Daphnia pulex: one gene and its partner. The protein of the gene in region 2 interacts with the protein of the main gene of each other region in a pairwise test. Links are inferred from orthologs where the notes say so. Each region holds a gene or a part of one and is shown on either strand. Other genes may lie near its edges. The genes, in order: transcription factor MafK-like and segmentation protein cap'n'collar-like.

What was found.
Region 1: the proteins of segmentation protein cap'n'collar-like (region 2) and transcription factor MafK-like interact in a two-hybrid assay, tested with the Drosophila melanogaster proteins (3 studies listed by BioGRID, with this or other methods). The link is inferred for Daphnia pulex from reciprocal best matches to the Drosophila melanogaster genes cnc and maf-S.

The regions. Positions count from the first base shown.
Region 1 is NC_060022.1:2,780,823-2,792,275, forward strand, and holds transcription factor MafK-like, read right to left. Parts: upstream 4,391-11,453; 5' UTR 4,234-4,390; coding exon 4,180-4,233; intron 4,104-4,179; coding exon 3,993-4,103; intron 3,938-3,992; coding exon 3,882-3,937; intron 3,802-3,881; coding exon 3,600-3,801; 3' UTR 3,456-3,599; downstream 1-3,455. Other genes in the region: protein winged eye-like, read right to left, coding at 935-1,163; protein FAM8A1-like, read right to left, coding at 4,902-5,086, 5,146-5,360, 5,431-5,551, 5,635-5,917.
Region 2 is NC_060024.1:12,565,338-12,578,256, forward strand, and holds the start of segmentation protein cap'n'collar-like, read right to left. Parts: upstream 6,317-12,919; 5' UTR 5,604-6,316; coding exon 5,046-5,603; intron 4,475-5,045; coding exon 4,334-4,474; intron 4,133-4,333; coding exon 4,012-4,132; intron 1-4,011. Other genes in the region: protein CREG1-like, read left to right, coding at 7,409-7,619, 7,677-7,831, 7,903-8,022, 8,094-8,172, 8,234-8,346; transmembrane protein 161B-like, read right to left, coding at 8,777-8,902, 8,972-9,129, 9,202-9,298, 9,358-9,532, 9,604-9,744, 9,807-9,923, 9,985-10,200, 10,270-10,352 and 4 more. UniProt on the Drosophila melanogaster protein: Plays a role in posterior cephalic patterning. Probable subunit of a heterodimeric regulatory protein involved in the control of head morphogenesis.

The DNA of each region.
Region 1 (11,453 bases), on a different chromosome or scaffold from region 2:
GCGGAAATAGCTCCAAGTCAACAACATGATTGTCAAACAACGGCCAAAATTTTTTCTATTTTCGGGTGGCTAACAAGGGGGCTAACACACAATCATACTAGTCCAGCAGACTCTCTTCCCAAGGCCACACACCCAAGCTTCGAAAGGTATCCCCAGGTTATTGTCGTATATAAAAGTTAAAACACATTTCTCTCTTGTTGTATATGTACATTCACAACCCCCACTCCCTCAGGGGGGGGCTGAAAGATTAACAGGTAAGAAAAAGGGAGGAGTCACTCCAACCCTCGAAACTTTTTTAACACACAGGTCGACTTGAGAAAGGTGCATTTCAAAGAAAAAGAGCGGGAATCTAATTGAACCTTCCTTCACTTTGTTTCGGAATGGAAAATTTCCTCCTTCTTTTTACAGGATTAGATAGTTCTGATCACCAAAGTGAATCTGTCCAACTGCCAACATTTCCCAGAGCTCTTGTATTACCATCGTTTTTTTTTCTCTTTTTAATTTCTATTTTTCTCCGTAATGTCTGTCGAAATTCAACCCTACTGACGTTATCCCTCGAGGGGTGGTACAGAGAAAAACAGTCAAGTAAATGACATGGCTCTCAAAAAAAAGTTATGTGGTGCACTAATAATAACCATTGGCTAGTAGAAAAGAATAGGAAGAACGCTAAAACACAAATAGGCCTATACATAAAGTCGTAAAAAAGTTATCCGTCATGGATAGAAAAAGGTCCTTCAAGTGAACTTTGACCTTGTTGCGCGACTTGACCACCACCACCACCACAGGGGTATTGGTGACAACTGACAGGACCGTCCTCTCTCTTTTTGTGTCTGTTTCATGTCCCGACAAGCCGCCCCCATCGTATTCCGCGAAGACTATTATTGAAATGAATGTCTACTGAATTCGACTGGACATGCACTGTGTGTCTGTTTACCAGGAGTGTAAGGTGACTGGATGGATGAAGGGTGGTGGTCGACACCACGGGGAGACAGATCCAGGACGACGGGCGGACCGAAACCGTGCCCATCGTAGACGGGTGGAGGTCCTGGAAATTCCGTTTTCATTCCGGGAATCATTGGAGATGTGTTAAGACGTGTCGATCCAGCAACGACTAGCATCGCAGCCTGCTGCAACTGCCCGACTTTGCCCGATTCCGGATCCATGATTATTTTTCCTTCGCCAAGATGTCTTACGATTGTTTCACGAACAAGTCACGGACGTTGCCCATTGCACCCAACGCTAAAAATACAAAAGAAACGACAAATTAGGTTATTGATCGATTGCCTAAGATATTCGAACGTCCATCACATCTAAATCAGCCCACGTCAGCGTTCACATCGATCCTTTGCTACAACCAATCCTAGGAGATCAATAGCCACACAACGCTAGAAGTTCTCTTTTTATTTTATTTTAAATAATAATAAATAACGGCGCAAAATAAAAAAGTTAATTTGACCTCGTGACTGTGGGTGACGACTACTAGAAACATCAGCCGACACAGCAGCAACTGATAACGATATCTCTCCCGGGCAACTGATGTGAAGACTCTCGGCGCGACAATCAAGAGAATATTACGGCTAAACACACGGGAAAGGTTTTGAGTGAAATCGGATCGGACTCAACCTACAAGCTGGAACGCGAAGCAAGCGGGAAATTCGATCACAGTGAGGGGGTGGCGGTTGAAAATTGTTCCAAAATATAAATAAAAAAAGATGTTTAAAATATTAAAAGAGAAAACGCCGGGAAAGAGGTCATCAGCAGATGGGAAAATGCATCTCAACTGAAAATTATATTCATATGCTGCAGCCTGTCTTATCATCGTGTTATTGAGTTTGTTTATGGTAATTGCAAGCAGAAAAACCACCTACGTAAAAAGTTAGTAGACACGAAGGGATTGGCCTAACAATAGTAAATGTCTTGAGCCATTGCGTCATTCAAGGTAAACGTACAGTTGCAGCAAACATAAATGCCCATGGGACACAGGCCAATCAACGTGCTTTCTACGTAATATCATCAGTTGGCGAAAAATCAACTTCAAAACGTGCCTTTGATCTTTGGAAGAAAAATCAAACTTCCACTTGACAAGACTAGGAGCTTCTAAAATTTCAAGAGTTTTTCTTACCCGGTAAAAGCCGTCGGAATTGTGGTCAGCTAATAAAGACTAGCGTCAACACGGGGGCCTAAGATAGTCAGTTCAGCAGGATGAACTACGCCGCAAAAAAAAAGATAGAACTGCGACGGTGCCGTCGCGGAACTTTCCAGGCGGCGTCACTATTAGCAAACAGTGATCCAACGTTTTCCAAAAGGTGGAAATTCGGTGAATTTTTAGATATTTTCTTCGCTTTCAACACACGACAACACTAAACCGATATCGAACTGACAGATTTCTGCAATGTCAACTTTGTTTTCACAATCAAAAGTGTTGTTTTGATGAAAATTGTGCCTGGCACCAACAATTTCGACTGAGCGTCACTACGAAAAAAAAAACAGCACAAACGAACGTAGTTTACTCGTCCGCGTCTCTCAACAGAATGGTTGAACGCGAGTCGAATGCAAGAGAAGAGTCGAGCCCAGTGACTCCGCCCTCCAACGAATTGAACCAATGGCAAGAAATGGTTGTTTATCTAGCCCCGCGCAACAAACTCCGCCCAGGGCCTTTTGCAAAAGAGGTGGATTGGGGGGAGAGAAGGGGGGACCCTTTCATTATTTTTAACCCGTTTTTCTTTTACTCAGCGTCATGGCTCTCTTTTTTGTTGTTATTTTTTAAGCCGCGTGAATTTTTATCGGACGGCTGCCGTCTTTCATGCACGCACGAAAACGCCCTATTTCGCGCAGGGAGTTTAAGAGAGAGAGGGGAAAAACGCGCGGGAGCGGATGATCAGAGTAACAATACTTCGACTTCCGTTTGCATCGGCTCTTTCAAAGTTTCAATACGACCGAATTCATATCTCGACGAACTGCAGCTTACTAATGTCATATTTCATGGTTTTTCTTTATGTTCCAGTTTTTTTATGACCCCGTCAAACAGGTTTTTTTCTTATTGAAGAAAGGAGACTGCTGCTGCAGCGGGTGTTTCTGAACTCTCGGTAAGTGTTGAGATGGATTGTAGTTTTCAAACTCTCCCAATTCCGTCACTTTATAAGCTACAACATTTATCTGGATTAGAAATAGTGTTGTCAAATAACGTTGGAAACTAATTTTTTGAGCATTTCTTGTCTGGGAGGTTCGTTAGTCGCGACAAACTCGGCCAAATTTCCCTTTGGCTTTGACATTTTAACCTTCAACAGCGGCAACTGCAGTGAAGACGCTATCTGTGTCTCGTGGCGGCAGAACGAACCTGTGGGCCATCGTGCGTGACTGGGAACTTTTTCGAACCTTGGTTATTACATACCCTCCAGACACGAAAAAGCAGTCGAGAACGAGAAGAAAGACATCTATACGTCGAAACAACGAACTACGTGGTAAGTACATGATGTATTTCTTTCTCGCAAACAGAACCATTCAAGCCCCTTCAAGCCCTTTCGTTTTTGAAACATTCATGAAATTAGATTTAGAAATGTAAGATGTAGTCAGACGGAGGTAGTTGAAATAGATAAACATTAGTGCAGTGGATCCATTTCTGAAGGCAAAGGAATTTTCTTTTGAAGGGCAAATTTCTGGAGGGCTTCATATTTGCGATGAAGGGCTTCAATCTCTTCACGGATCTTGCCATTATCTTCTGCCAGCTTCTCTGTTTCTGAAAGTTCACCAACCTTCTCCTGCTCCAGTTCGTCCTTTTGCTCTATCCTCTTGATGCGACAGCTAAAAAACAAACACTTGTTAGCTATTTTTATTTTATAGGAAATACCCAACATCAAACACAGTGTGATGTAACAATATACCTAGCAGCGTAACCTCTGTTCTTTAAGGTTCTACGGCGTTGCTTCATCCTAACTATCTGTAGAACAGTCTTGTTAAAAATATGCAATGTGTCAGACTGAAGTTTCTGTTACCTCTTCTCTTGTCAAACCTCTAAGTTTGAGTTGTCTATTCAAGTCTCGAACAGATATGGATACTAACTCATCATCAGAAATACCCAGACAAGGGGATGGAGACAAAGGTTCCTAAAAGTTACCTCACATTAGTTTTGCATTTAAAAGTAGTAAAACAACAACAAACATTTTGGATTTCATCACTCACCAGATCAAATTTGTTGGCATTAGCATTTCTATCTTTCTTGTCACCTTTTTTCATTTTATTTAAAATTTTCGTTTTTCTAAGGCGAAAAGTGGGAGTTCTACGAGGTAGACGTGAAAGAAAAATTTCATCGCAGGTAGAAAACGCGCTGAGTCATTCTCTATCGCGATGTTTTTCTATTCCAGCCATGTTTCGCTTATTTTGACAAGGCCTTATATAAAGAGAAGGCCGGTTAAACCAGAATATATGTATAGTTACACCGCAACTAGAACCACGTAGCGGTAGGGAAAACAATTCTTGGAAAAAAAAAATAATTGAAAAACATTGAAAAATGAAGGAGAAAACCGATTTTATTCCCTAGTTCCTCTACTTTTCAGTTTTCACCTTAAAACAAAACGTGCGCTTTATTAGTAGCTTTATACAAAATATCTATACAGTGTATTTGTAATCTTGTGGAAAACTTACTAAAACTTGCGGACCTACCGAAAGTGACAGTCTATGTAATAATGAAACAATTAAATGTTAGTTAAAGTTTGTAATAACATAGAAACAACTGGGGGAATAATTTTGGTCGACATAAAACACTAAGATACAGAAAATTAAAGTTGTAATGCGAGGCGGAGATGAAGTGTCCATCACGCACATCGATTCAGACTTCAAGAGTAGACCATTTCAGCTTTAATCGGGATAAACAATGCGCCATATGTGGTAGGTTCTTTTGACATTTATTCGCTTTCAACGACAACTGTTCCACACAATATATCGTATAGAGTACGATTATGTTGAACAACCATTAATGGGAGGAAAGTGGGAAACAGAATGGCTGTGCCCATATTCTTCAGGAATGCTCGACCTAGAGATCTCCAAAATGTGACTTTCGTTGCAGGTTGCACGAGCACTCGATTTTCTCCTGTAAACAAATATAATGTATACATTTTAGCAGGTGTAGTAATGAAGATGTATACATACCAACTGGGATACACTTTGTGCAGGAAATTATACTGAGTCCCATTGTTCGTTTTCCTGGAGTGCCACCTTGAAGGGTAAAACAAACTTCATACAGAACTACTAGCAAGCGGTGAATCAGTTCAATAGTTAACAAATTGGCAGTAATTGCCATGGCCATTTCATAATCAGCTTCCTCTGTTATTTCTTTTTCTTCAGTTTGGAAAAAACCTGAATCTCTGGAGATTAAATTTTATTGTTTGTATTACATAATCCATACTGATTAATAAAAATAAAATTGTGACCTACTCCATATTCCAAGCATCTAGAACTGTTAATGTCACAAAGGCTTTGATGAAAAACAGTAAACCAAAATCAATCACTTCAGCCAATAAGCGCTTTGAAAGTTTTGGGACTTCAAAAACTCTTCCTAATAAATAAAAAATATTGTTTTAAATACTAAGCATGAATCTCGCTAACAAAAATTTTTTGCTTATTAAGAAAATCAAATACCTTCTATGGGAGGTGTTGCCGGAACTGAACCAATTCTAGTAGATGGCCTTTGTTGGTGATTGACATTTGTCACTGGCGTTTCAGTTCTAGCCGAAACTGGTGTACTATTGGACAAAGGACGATGTCTACTTTGCATGAAAACTGAAGGCATTGAATAAGGGAGACATTGTAATGTTTGCCATTGATATGCTTGTCCCAACCAGCTTCTTAGCTGATCGGCATACTCTCCCATTCTTCGGAGTTCTCCAGCAGAATCTTCAGATTCATTTACACCACTATTCATGATCAAATTCTAAGAAAACCGAAATGTTTTTCACTGTTGTAGGCCAAATTACATAGCCTACGTTGATTCCGAAAGAGTTTCAATAACTCAACCACAACAAACCAGAGATATAGAGATACGACACCAAGAAGTATGTCTCCATGACAGCACACCCTACCATCTAGCGGACAGAAAGCAGTTTATAGGTGGCGCTAGTTATACCGATTGCTGTCTAATACAGCACTTTTTAAGCGGCGTTGGCAACGCTGAATCGCCGATGAGGAAAGGGGGAAATGGACGAAGAAGACAATTGTTCTCAATTCCTGTGTCAGTTCTCAGTTCTCAGTGTCTCTCAGTTCTCAGTGTCAGTGTCAGTCAATTGTTAATCAATTCTGGTGTCAGCTGTCAGACTCGAAAGAGATGAGTCAAGTTAGCATCTCCATGGCAACAACTGTTGCGTGTATTTGTCATCAACTGCATTCTTCCAATCCGTAATCATGGGTAAATATTCGTTTTTCTTTTTTTTTATGTAAAGTTTTTAATCAATATGTTTTTGTATGTGTTAAGTGCTAGTTGTAACTGAAAATTAATGTTAGAATTTTTCATTGTCTAGGTAACTATGGCGTCGTGTGATTTTGGGTGTTGTGTCGTTGACGGCTGGGTTGGCCACTGGTGTACCGATGTCTCCTGAGTATGGCGGTATTGCTACGAAGCAACAACATACGCAACGACACCAACAATAGACCAAAGTTCTGCTCCGTCCTTATCTTCCCTTCAATCTTCGCGCTCATCTAGCTTCTATGCGTTTTATGTTGCTACATAAAACTTGTCTTATTACTCCACTGACAAGTTAGACCACTTCAGTCCGCTGTTACTCTCATGGTGAAATGCCCAGGTATCTGAAAAAGTTTTCATTATTTACCAGTAACCTATTAGCTTTAAACTCTGTTTCTGTGTTATGATCCCTCAATGAGACCCTTGTTCATTGAATGAAGTGTTTCTTACACATATTCTTTTCCTAACTTTCGTGGCTTTATTTTCAGCTTTTGTCTTTGATAATTTTCAGCAGTCTAATTACGTAGTTTTTAGTTACTTTGCAAGTCCATGTAAATATTTATCGGCAGTAATTGAGAGCTAACTTTTGGGGTGGTACCTTACGACATTTCACCATCAAAACACATTTGTTAAATTTTTGATGATTGCTTTTTTCATCTACTTTCGGTTTCAAAATTCGTTAATAAGCAGCTTGTAAATATTCACTTGACGCCAAAAAGAACTTAATAAAAGAATTCCTCGTCAAATTTGATAAAATTAAATACAATACTAATAGTGATTAACTTTTTTATCCTTAGATTACACATGACTGTTTCTGATAGCTCTTGATGGTTCATGCACGTGATCGTTGTCATGATGAATACGAATTAGTGAACAAAAGAATTTTCAAGTTAATTTGTTTTTCATACTGAATTTCCGTAAAACGTGTCATGGAGTGATGTTGAGGTGGGGTGAGAACGGGAAGTGTTACATAATCATTTGGTATTTATTTTGATATTGATATTGTATACCCATCCCCAGCAACATCAACCTGCAGAAGGAAAGGCCAGTTTTCACTTTCGGAGGTCACGGAGATCATTACGTAAAACGCGTCATGTGGTGTAGAGGTTGGGTGAGAAAGGGACGTGTTTCATTATCAAGCAGGTACAATACCCGCAAGGCTTAGAAGGTGAGGGTGAGAAAAAAATTTGTATAAAAGGAGAGAGAAAAGGATACAGACATCAGTTGGGTGAGCATCACCGACACGGCAACAACTCCTGTGGACTGCCTGTACCAACTGGCTTCTTCATCACATTACCAGCTCGCAACATTTGGTAAACATTCCGTTTCTCTACATAGTTTTGTATTATTAAGTCTACTATTGACTATGGGTTAATGTGTCAGTTGCTATTTGATGCTAATGTTTAAATATATAATTTGTCTATTTAACTATGGCGTCGTGCTGCTGTTTGGTGTTGTATCGTTGATGGCTGGGTCGACCACTGGTGTACTACATGACAACAATATACGCTTCAGCCAGTTATTACACCACCAAGGTTCCAGGGAATACCATCACAGCTTGTGATTTCCAGAGCCACTACACCGATGCCGTGAATTGTAGATTATAGACATCTTATCCTTCAGTTGCTGCAAGCAGTAAGTGTGTGTTTTATTCTTTATAGGTTTCAGACCTACAGCATTTGATTGTTTTACTTGGCATGGAAAAAGATACAGGCTTAATGGGTGTTGTTTTAATCCTCTTGTGTCCTCTACACACTCAATGTCTGGAATTTTTGTTGAATTGTGTATAAGTGCTTCAAGTAGAGAGGGTAGGGACAACATTTTGGCTTCTTAAGAAAAAAATTTCGTTTAAATTATTTTAAGTGAAGTTCTTCTCAACAAGACATTTAGTCATGTGGGGTTTCGTGTTGGAATTTGTTGGTATAGTTAAATTTGTGCGGTTCATGGGCTGCTTAACTGAAGCTTATCTTCTGCAAGAATTCATTGGAATAGAAAAATCAATGAAGCAATGTTGACTAACTAGTATCTGACCGTATGGAGGCCTTTATAGTTTTTACATGTTAAGCTATTTTTTCCATCATTCTCATCTTATTTCTCCAATATCAAATGCTATTTACAAACCGAGTTTTAAGCTATACCCATGATATTCCTTTTGATATTGGTTGTTGACCTATTGTCTACCCATTCCAATTCCCAGCAACACCAACCAGCAAAAGGAAGTACCAGTTTGCATGTCCTTCGTTTGCGCTCGAAGGTCACATTGATGTTTAAGTTATTAAACGTGTTATGCAGTGCTGTAGAGGTTGGGAGAGAACGAGAAATGTTTTGTTACTTAACCATTTGGTATTCATTTTGATTTTTTTTTTTTGTAGACCCATCCTCATCAGCGACGTCAACCTGCAGAAGGATAGGCCAGTTTGCTTCGAAGGTCACGAAAATCATTACGTAAAACGTGTCGTGTGGTGTAGAGGTTGGGTGAGAAAGGGATCTGTTGCATCTTTATCAAGCAGGTACAATACCCGCAAGGCTTAAGAGGTGAGGGTGAGAAAAAAATTCGTATAAAAGGAGAGAGAAAAGGATACAGACATCAGTTGGGTGAGCATCACCGACACGGCAACAACTCCTGTGGACTGCCTGTACCAACTGGCTTCTTCATCGCATTACCAGCTCGCAACAATTGGTAAACATTCAGTTTCTCTACATAGTGTTTTGTATTACTAAGTCTACTATTGACTATTAATGAGTTGATTAAGTTGCTATTGAATATTAATGTTTAAATTTGTCTATTTAACTATGGCGTCGTGCTGCTGTCGGGTGTTGTATCGTTGATGGCTGGGTCGACCATTGGTGTACCGATGTTTCCAACACCAACTTTCCTACGCCACTGGATTGTTCATCGTTTAACCAGTTCGCAGTTATGGGTAATTTATCAATCCTTCTTTGTTCTATTTATTAATATGCCGGTTATTGAATATTAATATTAATATTTTTAATTGTTCAGTCAACTATGATGTCGTGCTGCTGTCGGATGTTGTATCGTTGATGGCTGGGTCGACCACTAGTTTGCCAATGTCTTTTGGGCACGGACACCAAACCGCAATGCCGGCGCCCTACTACACAACAACAGCATACGCTTCAGCCGGTTATTACACCATCAAGGCTCCAGGGAACTACACCACAACTTATGATGTCCAGAGCTACTACACCGACGTCCTGAATTATAGTTATCCTTCAGTTGCTGCAAGCAGTAAGTGTGTGTTTCTTTTATTCTCTATCGGTTTCAGACCTCCAGCATTTTGTTTTAGTTGGTATAGGGTGAAGCCAGAAATGGAAACAGATATGGGTCCAACGGGTGTTGCTTTAAATCTCTCGTGTCTACACACTTAATGTCTGAAATATTTGAATAATTTTATGTGCGTGTTTGATGTAGAGAGGGGTAGAGACAATATTTTGGCTTAGGAAAAAAGTGCTTTGGACTTATTTCAAGGGAATTCTTCATAACAAGGCATTTCAACATGCGGGGTTTTGTGTTGGAATGTGTGTGGTTAATGGGCTGCCAAACTTAAGTTTATTTTCTGCAAGAATTCTCTTGAATAGTATAATCCATGAAGCGTTGTTGACTCTTCACTAGCACATGACCTTGTGTAAGGACTATGAGTTTTTACATGTTAAGTCATTATTTTATCATTTTCATTTCTCTAATGTCAATTGCTGTTTATAAAGTGAGATTTAAGACAAACCATTTGGTGTTCATTTGATATTGGTTGTTGACTTGTTGTATGTAGACCTATTCCAATCCCCAGCAACGTCAACCTGCAGAAGGAAAAGGCAGTTTGCATGGCTTTCACATTCGGAGGTCGAGGAGATCATTACGTAAAACGTGTCATGTAGTGGTGAAGGGTTGGGTAAAAACGGGGCGTGTTTCATAATTATCAAGGAGGTACAACAGCCGCAAGGCTTAAGAGTTGAGTTAGAGTGAGAAAAAGTGGTATAAAAGGAGAGAGAAGAGGCGATAGAGATCAGTCGAGTGAGTATCTCCGACACGGCAACAGCTACAGTTCATTGTTTGTTACCAACTGCATTCTTCGTCGTAATACCAGTTTGAAATTATTTGGTAAATATTCTGTTTGTTGTTTTACATAGATTTGTGAATCATTTCACATTTGTTTTAATTGTTAATATGCCTGTTATTTAAAATTAATGTCAAATTGTTTACCGTCTATTTTACTATAGTGTTGTTCTGCTGCTGCTGGGTGTTGTATTTAGCTGATGGGCCAGGATTCAGACCCAAAACCTAAAAGTAGAGAAGGAAGGTGATAGATCAGTTGAGTGAGCATCTCCGATCCGGCAACAGTTGCAGCTGCACTCTTCCAATTCTCAATTATAGGTAAATATCATTTTGTTCAACTAGTGTTTTGTGACTATTCAAATTTTTCCTATTTGTTTGTGTGCCAGTTCTAATTGAATATTGATGTTGATATTTTCATTGTCTACTTAAAGGGCTTTGTGCTGCTGTTGAATGTTGTATCGTTGCTGGCTGAGTCGACCACTGGTGTACCGATGTTCCCTGGGTATGGCGGATACCAAGCCGCAACGCTGTTGTCTTACTACACAACAACATAGGTGACGACCTGTTACTACACCGGGACTTCCAATGACTACACCGAAAAGGCTGAATATTACACAAGGACGTATGCTACTCCAGTTTACTACACCGAGGAACCTAAGCATTACTTTGCTCCGAGCTACAACAGAGGCTCCTGTTAAGTACACCACCAACGCATCTGAATGTTATAGATAATCTACGCTGCCCTCAACTACTACACTGAAGCTTCGAAGTGCTACACCATCAATATACAATCAATAAGCAACGGTAAATATGCTGTTTTACATAATTTGAATTATTCCACATTTTCTCTGATTGTTAATTAATAACTGAAAATGATTTATTTTATTTATAGTTATTTGGTGACGTGCTGATGTTTAACTTTTTATTTTTGAT
Region 2 (12,919 bases):
TATCCAACAAGTTTCACACTATACATAATGTATGTGGATGCGATGTACACTGCGTCGTTTCGGTTAGTTTCTAGTTTTTTTTACTTTTAATTTTACAACTAGAATATGAAAAGTCGTGATCAGGAAGAAAAAGTCCTGGAGTGCGTAAAATAAGGAATCGCGCAAGCTGATCGGTGAGAGAGAGAGAAAAAGAGGGTTATAACAAATGATTCGTTGGAATTCTTTTTTATCTGTTTCCTTCGAGACTTTTCCGATGTAATAATATTCATGCAGGATAGAAAAAAAAAAGGTTGAAGGAAAGAGAGATCGAGGGAACAGCATGGTACATAATAAGCGACCGGCGGGTGGTTCTCTAACGCAACCAACCAATGGCGTGGATCGGCCAATGAAACGGACGGACCTACCATCCTTCTTTTGGTATCATGCACAGTTATATACACGCGTGTATAGTGAATAGACACACACATGCCGAATGAAAAAAAAATTCCCCCTAGCACACGTAACCAGAGAAGGGGAGAGAGAAAGAACACGAAGCCAGGAAAAAGGCTAGCTGGCAGCCTCTGGCAGTGTGAGTTTGAATTCACCTAACACAAGCACATCGGAGAGAATGGATGAAGAAAAAAGATACGAAGGCACCCCCGAAAAGAAAAAAGAAAACGTGATGGTCTGTCCCGCCGTCCCGTCAGAGAAAAAAAAAGAGAGACGGTTCAAATTGGATATTCAAGTTACAAAAGAAAAAAAAAAGAACTGAGAGAGAGAGACGGAACGTGTGCTGGCTTCACGGAAGAGTAGAAAATCCCGTAGCCCGGTAACATAATAGAAATAAGAGAAAAAAGAAGAAACTCCGATATACGATGCAAGTTTTGCATTCCATCCCGCTGGGTGGAGCAGTGCGCCAGGTTGGAGCTCTATAACCTAAACGCCGTGACGGAATCTCTCTCTGTGTCTATCTCTTAGGACAAAGAGGGAGAAGAAAAAGAAACGACAAACAGTTTTCTCTCTCTTTTTCCCAATCAGCGCCATCTCACACTAATTTTTCATGCAAGTCGTGTGTTGCATTGCATCGGGAGGAATTGTTCGGGGGGGCTTTCTCCAAAGACCTCCCTCCAACGCTGCTGGGCCCCTTTGACATCGGGGGGTCGGAGCAAAGACGCGACGACGCGCTCGCTGCTGTGCGATTTCGATCGCCGAAAATTTACTTGTACAAGACATCTTTTTCTTTGGCCTCACTTTATTATCCGTCAGCTAGAAAATGCCGTTTCGACCCGCGGCTCGAGGGGGGCAAAAATAGATCAGATTCCGACACTGTTTGAAAAACTGAAGCTCCGGCAGAGCTTATTTTACTCTCGGTGCACAAGACCTACACGCGCCTACACGCACATAGAAACAATGAGTCTATTATCCTTCCATTTCTAAACCAAAAATAAAAAGCCCAAAGGTTTGGAAAAAAGTCAATACTGAACAAACTATTCATCACGTTGGAAAAATGAATTTTACGGACCTCACTGATACTGCTGCGGTCTTCAAAGACTTTTTTTTCGGACTCCTTTTGTCTCCGACCGCCGATGGAACTCTTTCTTAACATTTTAATGAATTCGCAGGCACCTGAGACGGTGAGAAGGTTCATAACAAACTAGTCTTTTCGGTACTTTCTTCTTCCTTTTTCTACCCCGCTTGTTTTGTTTCTCTGTCCATTTTGCTGGCCACGGGTCATAAGGTCCATGCAGCAGCGCTGAGTTAATGATCGCGCCCGGGCCTCAATTCTCGCCGCGCTTAACGATTTGGAGAGTATCTTTATAAGCAGGACATCCAACTTTTCACTTCGGAGAGGGGTCATCCCCCGCTGAACAGGATCATTTACGCACCGATAATTTCTCCGATGGTCATTGTGGGGGTAAACACAAAAACAACAACGCAAACGAAGGGAGGAAAAAAAGTGATATTTATAAAAGAAAAACGGCCTACGAACCATAAACGATTGAATTCTGGAATTTCGGTCGACTTAACTTTGAACACAAATGCGTAGTGCTAAATGTGAAGCGTAACCTTCGAATGTGATTTATCCTTGATGTGACACAAGGATCCCAACGACAGAGTCGGTAGAATGCAGCGAAGTAACGCCTTCCGCTACTTTAATTCAAAAATGGTTGCGCTTCCACAAGGGGAATGCAATCATAAAGGGGAAAAAAGATCAAAGAGAGAGAGAGAGAGACTCGGTCTTTTCGGAGTGCGGAAGAAAAATGAAGGAGATGGAAATGCCGAACGGACGCGGAGTCGAATGTAATCCCGCTGTTGTTGCTCGGCTTCACCTTTTTAGTGAAGGGAGCCAGGTTTTTATGATTAATGATTGCGGGTGCAACAGCACAAGACATCAGCGGGAGGTTTTTTCTCCTTATTTTTCTTCTTTCTTCGTCTGACTATGGCAAAAAAAAAGGTAGGGAGGGAGAAGTCTCACAGAATGGACGGGCATCTGCTCTTCCTGGCTAGTTCCTCTCCTAATAGGCTTTCCATTCCATTATCACAGCATCAAGGCTATAAAACCCCATTCGAAACGTAATCACAATGATACGAAAAGCATTCAAAAGTCAAACCAGAGTCTATTCAACACGCCACGGTCCGAGGAGACAACTGGCATATCCAAATACGAAACTGGAACGCGAGCAGGAATGAATTTCCGGAATCAAATGAACCCAACCAACTCTGTAGGGACACATCCGCATCTCTTTTTGGCGGATGTTAAGATCGCGTAACTTGTTGGCTGGAAATCGAATTCCTCCCATCCCACGGATATTTACTTTGAAATGACGTTTGTAACATGAAAAAAAAAAATGTTTTTGGAAATACCTGGCCTTGCGTAGATACATCGAGAAAAATATGTATATAATATCACATATAAATATAATATATATCCCCCCTCTGGTCGACAAGTCCGAGTTAGCGGGGCGTCGAACTCTGAGTAATGACTAATGATCTTTGCCTGTCATGTGGGATATAGCATTCATCGGCGGAGCCATCTCCTTCTTTTTTTTTCTTTTTCTCTCTTCTTCTCCTCTCCTCTTTTCTTTCTCTTTCACGGCGGCCCACATACGCCAGACTTTTCTCTCTTTTTCCCTTTTGTTACTGATGTTGAAAAGCAACTGTTCTGGCATTCTATACGATGTGGATGGCGATACAAAGTATGAAGCGATCAGAATGTACCGCAAAGCGCTTAGCCGGAATTTTTTGTGGTGCAAAACTGTTGACTATTTGGCGCTGAATGTCATTTGTAGATTTTCAGAAAAAAAAAAATTGTTTCGTGGAATTACGTCTGAAATAATATCATCACCGCATAACCCAAAGAAAAAACTGCCTGAATAAATTCAGCTTGGTTGTAACAAATGCGGAATAAGAAAAGATCTTTAAAAGCTTGAATAATTAAATAAAGTTAATATATAAGCATCAATTATGTAACACTTATATAAGAAAAGATTTTTCTTGAACCATACTGTTCAATGTGCGTAAAAAACGGAACTTTTGCCAAGTTCTGGAAACGGTCAGCGCCACCTAGTAGTAAAGCAAGAAACGAGTATGCTTTTCCTTCGCTAGATGGTGCCACTGACCAAAATTCCGAAAATTCACAGAACCTTCGAGAAGTGTCATAAGGAAGTCCGAGGTCACTTGTACTATTTATCCACCAACCACATTTATGTGACGACATTTCTGATTTGGTTTTTGAAATCTGCGCAGCGCAGACTTGACACTCTATGAATCCATATACAGATGGATGCAGCGTAGTTAAGAAATGCGACAACCTGTTGCGATGTTACCATGGGTTCAAAGGATCCAACGCAGGATCAGATCACATTTCCTGAACTCAGTAGAAACTCGCTAACTATTTGAGACTCACCAATAAGAATTTACGCATCATGTTAGTCTAGTGACGCAATCCTTTTAACGTTTTCCTTAGAAAACGCAAAAATAAAAAAACCCACACGACCTAACCAGCAATTTGTTATGCAATTTTTCACTCACCTGTTTCATCATCAATTCGATATGATAAGCCGGCCCAGGGATCGTCATCTGAAGGAGATTTGTCCGGAGGGTCCTCGTCGTTCTTATTTTCGCCATTTTTGGTCTTCTCCTTTTGTTCGCCCTGCATGTCAGATAAAGAAAGTTTGTACAACCCATTATTTATTGCTGCTCATTAGACGATGAAGCTTCCATGCAGTTCACAGCCAGCACTTTTGTCGGCCTTCCTCTAACATGTAATATCTCTTTATGACACAGCCTTCACATTGCAGTGCCGACCATTTTTTTTTCTTTTTTCAAATAGGAAAAACTGTAGTTTCTCTACCTTCAAATCCAACTTGTCCTTCAACGTTGCTGTGTCGACATCCTCGCTGCTGGATTCTTGATCTTCCGGAAAGAGAAAATGATCACGGGGGACTCCAATGTCGATGTCTTGCTTCCATAAAATTTCTATCAGGTCCGCATCCTGTGACATGGATACAAATTGTGTTACATAAGTCAAAACAGGGTTTCCTTGAAAAATCAATCGAACAAAAACTAAATTTCAGTATCCGTTATATAAATCACAACACTACGACATAGAGAAATCCAGGAAAATCATGCGTCCGATGAAATTTTGCGAGGTCAATCGACAACAGAACAGGCAGAATGTTTCTAACAGACTGTTGAGTGTTGGGAGATTTGGGAGATCCTGAGACTGGGTCTACAAGAGGTCGCCAAGACAAAAATTGTATCCAACGTGTTCTCCTGATGACAAACAAGAAATCGGCAGCAGCATGACATGCCATTTGTGGACTGCATCGCACGTCATCATCGTATTTTTTTTTTCTTTTTAGCAAATTCATGCTTAGCTTTCAATTGCATTCATCACCCATTTTGGACCTGCTGCCACGACAACAGCATAGCACCATTACCCTTTTCACTCTTTGTACAACAGAACAGACCTGCTTACACTCCAGGTGGTAGGAGGGGGAGCAATTCACTTGGCAGACTCTGAGTATTTAATGGATTTTTATCTTGATTGTCAATGGCTTTACCTCCAGAGATAGTACAGAAGCGTCATCTTGAATAGAAGATTCTGGAGGTGATTGTGGTTGTATGGAATCCAGTAGTTCATCATGATGGGATTGTGAACTTACAGTGGCAGCTATCAATGAACTGCTAGAAGAAGCAACAACAGGGCTCACTGTGTTTACATTAGGCAAATTTGAGTCACGGTTGAGTGAGCTGTCATCCAGCAGGTAAGCGGTAATTGTTCTTGGGCTTCGTGGGGGTAAGATGCTTGTGTATCTCCCAAGATCATTTAAATCTTCAATGAGCTCTTCTTGATATTGAGTTAAAGAAGCTTCCATGCTCTTAGGATGTAAGTAGGGTATATCTGGCAAGTTGCTCATGAATCCATGATGGAAATCCGATGGGGCATGAGCCCAAGTGTCTCCCATTGTAACATTGTGGAAACTTCCCCGAATGGAATTGGACCGTCCCAGACCCAATCCAAGATAAGATTCAGGATCTACTCTAATCAAACTGAGTATCAGAGCTAGATGAAGAAGTTCATCCGAGTGTCTATGAATCTTTTTGACGTAAGCCAACATTTTGGCGTTTATTGCTTTGTCTCGGCGTTCAGATTAACTTTGTGCACAGTACGTCGCAACGACGTAGTTCTTGGGAGTGGGGATTCAGGTTCCCTATGTCGAGGGAAACATCACTAAAAACAGTATTCATCAAACACGTTCACCAACATTTTGTTTGTATGTTGCAATCTTGATAGTTTGTTTTGAAAGGAAGATGCTGCTGCTGCTGCTGCTACGACAGCGGCGTGAAAATTTACAAGTCTATCCTCTTTGTAAAGGGGCAAAGTGACTCAGCTCTCACGCTGGATCAGTGACACCTAGGGAGCCAACAATAAACTAACAAGAATGATGCAACACTCCGACGAACATATCTCGTATCTTACGTACAGTGTAAGTTTATAACCACTCAATTTGGACAGGCATTTATCAGTGTTATAAGTCACGGGATATGCAAGGTGACTTTCAGTCAAACTTTGTACCTTCCTTAAAATTTAATGTCGATTGATGTCTGAATTTTTCCGGTTTGATGACGTAAAATCCAGACGTAAATACAGCATTGCCAAACAACATCACACATTTTCCTCTGTACATTTTAACACGACAATATATATCAGCATGCACCTGATACAAAACAACATGATCTGATGTTGCTAAGAATGCAAAAAATCCTTGAAAATTTCCAAAATTTAGACTTTGGCCCTGATAAAGTCATATCTTATCATATTGTTTACAAAAGCCCGGCAAAAATATCACAAATAGGCTGGCGTAGCAACGAAGAGAAATTGGAGAAAGGAAGGAAAACTAACCTCGTTAAATATACTGCCTTTATTTGTGGATTTCGCAGAGTTGGCAATATGCACTGGCGAATCTGGTTCAGGAGATAAACTCAACATCAAGGGAAGATCCACATCCACCATTTTTCGGTTTAACTTAAACTGTTTCACGTTAGAAAACTGTTTGTTTTGATTTTTCACCTCGGTGACGACCAACCACACGATGCCTCAAGCGTGAATCGTATTCCTCGGGACTCGAAACTAGAATGCCTAGACAGTGTCGACAATCGTGACGGCGAGTAGAAAAAGTAGGCGGCGCCTAAAGTCCTTAGGACTTCGTATAGTACACTTGGCGCCCGATTCACCCGTTGGGCAGTGTCGCTAATGCTCGATTTGCTGGCGATTTCAAGTCTATGGGTTATCAATTCAGAATTATCAACGAACTCTGCTTGTTTTTTTTTTGTATCCAGTCAGGTATTAATTTACAAAATCTTCTTCCAACCGGACATGTTTATCAACAAGCTCACAAAATCAACATTAGAAGCAAGAGCTGGACGTGCTGAGCTGGACCCTGTGATAAGACTCGCACCAATCGAACTGGCAACGCTTGCTCGGTTTTAAGATGGTCTCCGTTACTAGGGCATGATACACATACATAGTGGAAAGCCTTGAGATAAAACTGGACGAAGGTAGGGCTGAATCAAACTTGATCTGACACTAGCGACATCCCCTTGAATTTCTGATCACGTTCCAAGTGTATGTTTTAATATAGGCCCTCGTCCGTACCGTATCGGACACATATCATAAAAATTTTCAGGTCTGCATTGATTATACGACTGGAGTCTTGTTTACTTTTCCTATCCGGATAAGGCTGCAATTGATATTCACAAATCCTGAAAGCGTGTTTCGAAAAGATTAAACCGAATTGTTTAGTAACCGCCAGGTAGAGTTTCCTTTAACATTTTTAACGCTTAGCGTAAAGAAAACGGCAAAGTGTGTCGTGCTCATTAAAAAAATGTCCTTTGGGTGTAGTTCTAGCGTTAAACCGTAACCATGGAACGCAGCTGGAAATTCTTCGCTTTGATGTTTGTTCTGGCTGAATGGATCGAACCGGGAGACTTTGCGCTGAACAACCGCAACCACATAACATATGTCAACATGCCCTACGAAATAAAAAGAGAAAATAATCTAACCGTCGTTAAATCGGAACCTCCTCCACACGAGCTAGTGGCCAAAATGGCTCGCTATATCGTACACAAGAGTGGTAAATTAAATAATGATTTAAAACAATCTAGCTACTATAAAGTTGTGACCATTTAAGACTGGACCGCACTTGCCACCATTTCGACCCACGCTCCCATCGCAGGCTATCCGTTTGCTAATATTTTCTCGGTAAGCGATGGACCAGTCCACATTTCAAAAGGGGTCCCTTATTTTTACTTGACGGACATGGAAATATCTGTTCAGGATTTAAAAGTAAGCATCATTTCTTAGTATCTAACATGACGTTGTGCCAGTACGCTTTACGCGGTTTAACTAATACGCAGGAAGACTCAAGGACGACAATCACAATGAGTTTAGCTCAAACTCATTTCTGCAAAAAACACCAGTACGACCCGGAAGATCCTCTTTGTGCTCACATTATTCTGACGGGGAAACTCGTTCGCGTACGTAATGACTTGAAGCCATTAAAGTGCATTTAAAAATTGATCGAAACATTGATCGAATTGATTTTTAGGTCACCGATCCCAGCGAAAAGAGCTTTGCACGAAAAGCGTTATTCTCTCGACATCCGGAAATGAAAGACTGGCCAAAAGGTTCTTAATATTTAAATAATGATTTGAATTGCAAAGTTACTCACCTGGTTTGCAATTTCAGATCACGGTTGGTGGTTCGGGAAATTAGTTATCAGTAAAATCTGCCTTCTCGATTACTTTGGTGGTGTAAAGGACGTCGATCTAGCCGAGTACTTCGCCACCAGTCCTTTGTGAATTAAAGAAATCGTTGTAACCTTAGAATAGAAGGCTCAAAATTGCAATGTTAATAAAAGCTTCGAAAAAAAAGTGTGACAATTAGAATTGAATGAATTTGCTTATCAAATAAATTAACTATTTATTCATAAATAGTTTAACAGGGTAGGCAAATAAGGGATTTGTTCACAGATCCTTAATCGTCATCATCCAGGCCGAACTCGAATGAGATCTGTTGTTTCAAAATGTAGAAGTAAACGCTCACTCACACACGCACGCAATTCACACACAATGAACCACAGGGGTTTCCTACGGAGATTGACTACTTGTGCTGTATTTGCATCCATCCGACAGCAGAAGACACGGGACTACTTTGAATTGCAAGTATCTGCACGCCGCCAAAATTGTGATGCACGGCACTGTTCGTCCATTAGACATGTTCGTCTCGGTTTCACACTACTCCATCAAAAAAATAGGACTGGTAGGCGAGACCACAGCCAATTGTGAAGAAAGACAAAAATTGCATCCACCAGTTGGCAAACCCGAAAATGCCACGAAATACTTCGTACGAAAATATCTGGCAATCAATTCAAAAATTTGTAATTATAATTTTTAAAATCATCAATAAATAATCTGGATTACAAACCTGGTGAAATGTGCTGAGGGCCGCAAGCCACTGTTCTCTGGCGTCAACCAAAGTGGTCTCGTCATTTGGCAAAAGAGTTGAGAGAGTTGCTTTTGGTTCCTGCTGTGGATCGCACTCGTCTGGGTTATAATGATGTTGACCAAACCAACCGTAGCCTCCTACATAATGTTTAATCGATAAAACCATTAGTGACAGTGATAAAATTAATGGAACTAGACAAAAGTAGTTACCCAAAGTTTTGTTCATCAACGTAAAACCGACACAAAGGATAACCGGTGCAACGAATTGCAATCCAACCACACAAAGATAGTAGAAAATAATAGCAATCTGCAAAAAAAAATGAAATTAAACATTTTTTCCAGCATTAAAAATGAACTATTGTCAACCTTTCTCTGAAGGTCAACATTCGAAATTCGACCAGCCTCTTTTTTCATGTTTTCAATCTTCTCTTGGGCTAAGTTGAGATAAGCCTGGAAGCAAGATGGTGCGGAAACGATCCGAACGATGCTGAAAACTACACACAACCAAAGACGCATGCTGTCGAATGTTGCATCATTCATGCTAACAAAAATTAAAAAAAAAATAGGTAAATTTATCATATTTGTAACCAGATAAAACTCTATTATTCTTACAGTGGGGCTTCCATGTTACCGAAGATTCGGACGGAGAAATAATGCCTCGCCAAAGGGCGAACCCAAAGAAGGGAAAGCAGGAACGGCGATACCAGATTGATGTACATGAACATTTTTAACACTTTTCTTTCGCTACAATAACTGCAGAGAAGAGAACAACATTTCAATTTCAGATTTTATGTTTCAACTTGTTTTAAGCTTACCGTAAAGCATCTAGATGCATGCGACTCACTCGCAAACCAGGAAATATAAATAGAGCACCCGTAATTCCGCACCACACAGCAAAGCAGAGTTTCAGAATCAACTTGGAAGCAGGACCTCTGTAATAGATCAATAATTTAAGACGACGATTTAAAATTTATCGAATATGAGACGTTATACTCTGAATCCATCGATTGGCGTTCTAAGAAAACGGATGCACTTTTATTGAAAGAGGAATATGCAGCATCCAATCCGATCTCCAGGTTAGATTCGTCAATCAATAGCAATCCTAAGGCAAGGACGAAGCAAAACGATCCACCGACAAGAACCAATGACCTCTCAGCAGCAGCTTCGGTGTTCCAGAAGTAAAGACTAGTGACACTGCAAAGCGATTTTCTGTGGAATAAATCATAACAAAAAATTATCATCTGCAGTTCACATCTTTTTGCAGCTAAGAATAATTACAAGGCAAATCCAATAAGTAGAAGGCACCACAGCATACTAAGGTTAACTTCTTGATTACCCTTAGGAAACACCCCACAGTAGACCTGATGTGGAACAATTGTATAAACTTTTGAAGAAAATAATTGAAAAAAAATCTAACTTACCTCTGTTATAAGATAGACAACTAGGACGAATACACTGTAGTCAACCAACCAAACAAATTCAGTGAAAAACTTGAGTTGTAAAACATCTTTAGGAAATATTTTGGCAGTTTCAAGCTGAGAGCACAAATAGAAGATAATACAAATTTAATACAAATTTAGAATCTTATTGAAAATAACCTTACCTGTAAATCCAAATTTCTGGGAACTGTAAATGTCTTATCTTCTACAGGTTCCTCTGCCCACTTTCTTTTGTGCTTCCCTCGTTTATTGTCTCCTTCTTTAGGCTTTGGCTTTGGTTTGGGCTGCGGAAGTCCTGCTAACTTTCTCAACTCTGCATCGGTAGGGTGGAGGTAGTACACCAGCCTGAAAAAAAAATACATTCCTGTAATTTTTAAATTCTATGTGAACCTTAAAGTTTGTTTTACCCTGTTTTGCACAGGATCCATTTCCCAAATGAAAATCGTTGAGTCACTTTTTGCATGATGCTGATGGTGAGCAAAGTGACTATCAATTGAACTCCTAAAACAGCCTAAATAAGCAAAAGTACATGATTTAACATTAGTTAGTAGGCCGGCAAATGTAATGTGTTCCAATCGAGTTAAACAACGTACCATTTTGAGCAAATAGAAAAGGTTTCCAACTCTAAAATGACAAAATTTCAGCCGGCAAACTGCTCAATGGGCTGGGCCCTTCTGATTTACAAGAATAAACTGGCCACACGTATAGAATACCAAAATAAAATCTTCGATAGACTAAATTATCGGTCTTAAGGAACTTCCTCACGGTGGGCTCACGCTTTCTGTACGACAGCAGACAGCAATCGAAAAAAATGCGCGGAAAGTCCACACAGCGTTGAGACAAGCGGCTAATTCAAAATAAAGATAAAGAATCTCGACGGTGTCATTACTCATTAGTCAGTTTCAGTTAGTGTTAATATCAAATATATCAATGATCACGTATCACCAGTCTCAATAGAGAAATCACGCGAGGAAAATGAAGAAAGAGTAAGTCCCCAATTTCCTTAATTTGCGTGATTACCCTTATAATGTAGTATGTACATGCATCGTTACAGAATATGTATTATTTGTAATAAGGTCTTTCAGACTATCAGATATATATGGTATGGGATACAATTTAAAAATCAATAATATCGACCAATGTTTCTATTATTGCTCCACTAATAAGATACAAAAAGGGATGACAAAGTTGAGAAAGAAAAGCGCTTTGATTTATTTGTTTTACCTTTTACGGTGCCTGCCAACTTTATTATTTAGTTAATCTATAAACATTTCTCACGTGAAATAACCGAAATAATTTTTTTTCAATCTAAATTATGTAAAAATTTTCGGATAAAGTCGATATAAAAGAGATTAAATTAAATAGAAGCTATACGTACTGAAGGATTAGATCCCATTCCGCCTGACGATGATGATACGAATGGTGGCACTTTTTCATCCTGCAGTGATGCGTTATCCACTCGGCCACCGGGGTCCGCCAACAAATATATTTTTAAACTAAAAGTTCCTTCCGATCGAGTCGGTGAGACTAACTTTTTTTATTTATCTAATCTATAAACATTTCTCACGCGAAATAACCGAAATATATTTTTTTTAAACTAGCTTATTTCCAAATAATCGGAAAAAAATGGATATAATAGAAATTAATGCAAAAAGATGATATACCTATTGCTAGATTAGATCCTCTCCCGTCTCACGATAATCGATGAACTGTCCATGGTCCAATTGATGACCGGTAAATTATTTTGTTCATTAATATTGTTCCGATGCGTTATCCACTCGCCCACCGTGCTCCTATCACTTTCTTATTTTTTGTAAATTAAATAATCTTCCCGATGGAATAAAATTTATAACAGTCTGTAAAACTAATTTTTTATCGTCCATTGATTTTTATTTTTAACTGTCTTTTCCCTGATGTATATATGTAATAACCTATTCTACCTATATCAGATAATTATATTGTACACTTTTTTAAATTTACGTTGACCGATGTTCAACGTGTCCACTCGTCTGTAATGCGCAATACCTCGTCAACTTGAGCGACGTGACTTATCACTAATGATGAAGTTAATAAAGCTCTTGTTGTACTATCCAGTAATTGTTTATAAAACTAAAGATTCCTTTCGATCGCGTCGGTGAGACTAATTTTTTTTATTTATCTAATCTATAAACATTTTTTCTCACGCGAAATCACCGAATTTTTTTTTTTTTAACTAAATTATGTCCAAATAATTTAAAAAATAATGGATATAATAGAAATTAATTCAAAAAGATGATATACCTATTGCTAGATTTGATCCTCTCCCGTCTCACGATAATCGATGAACTGTCCATGGTCCAATTGATGACCGGTATATTATTTTGTTCATTAATATTGTTCCGATGCTTTATCCACTCGCCCACCGTGCTCCTATTAACATATATTTTTTTTAAATTAAATATTCCTTTATTTCCTTCCGATCGAATAACATTTATAACAGTCTGTAAGTC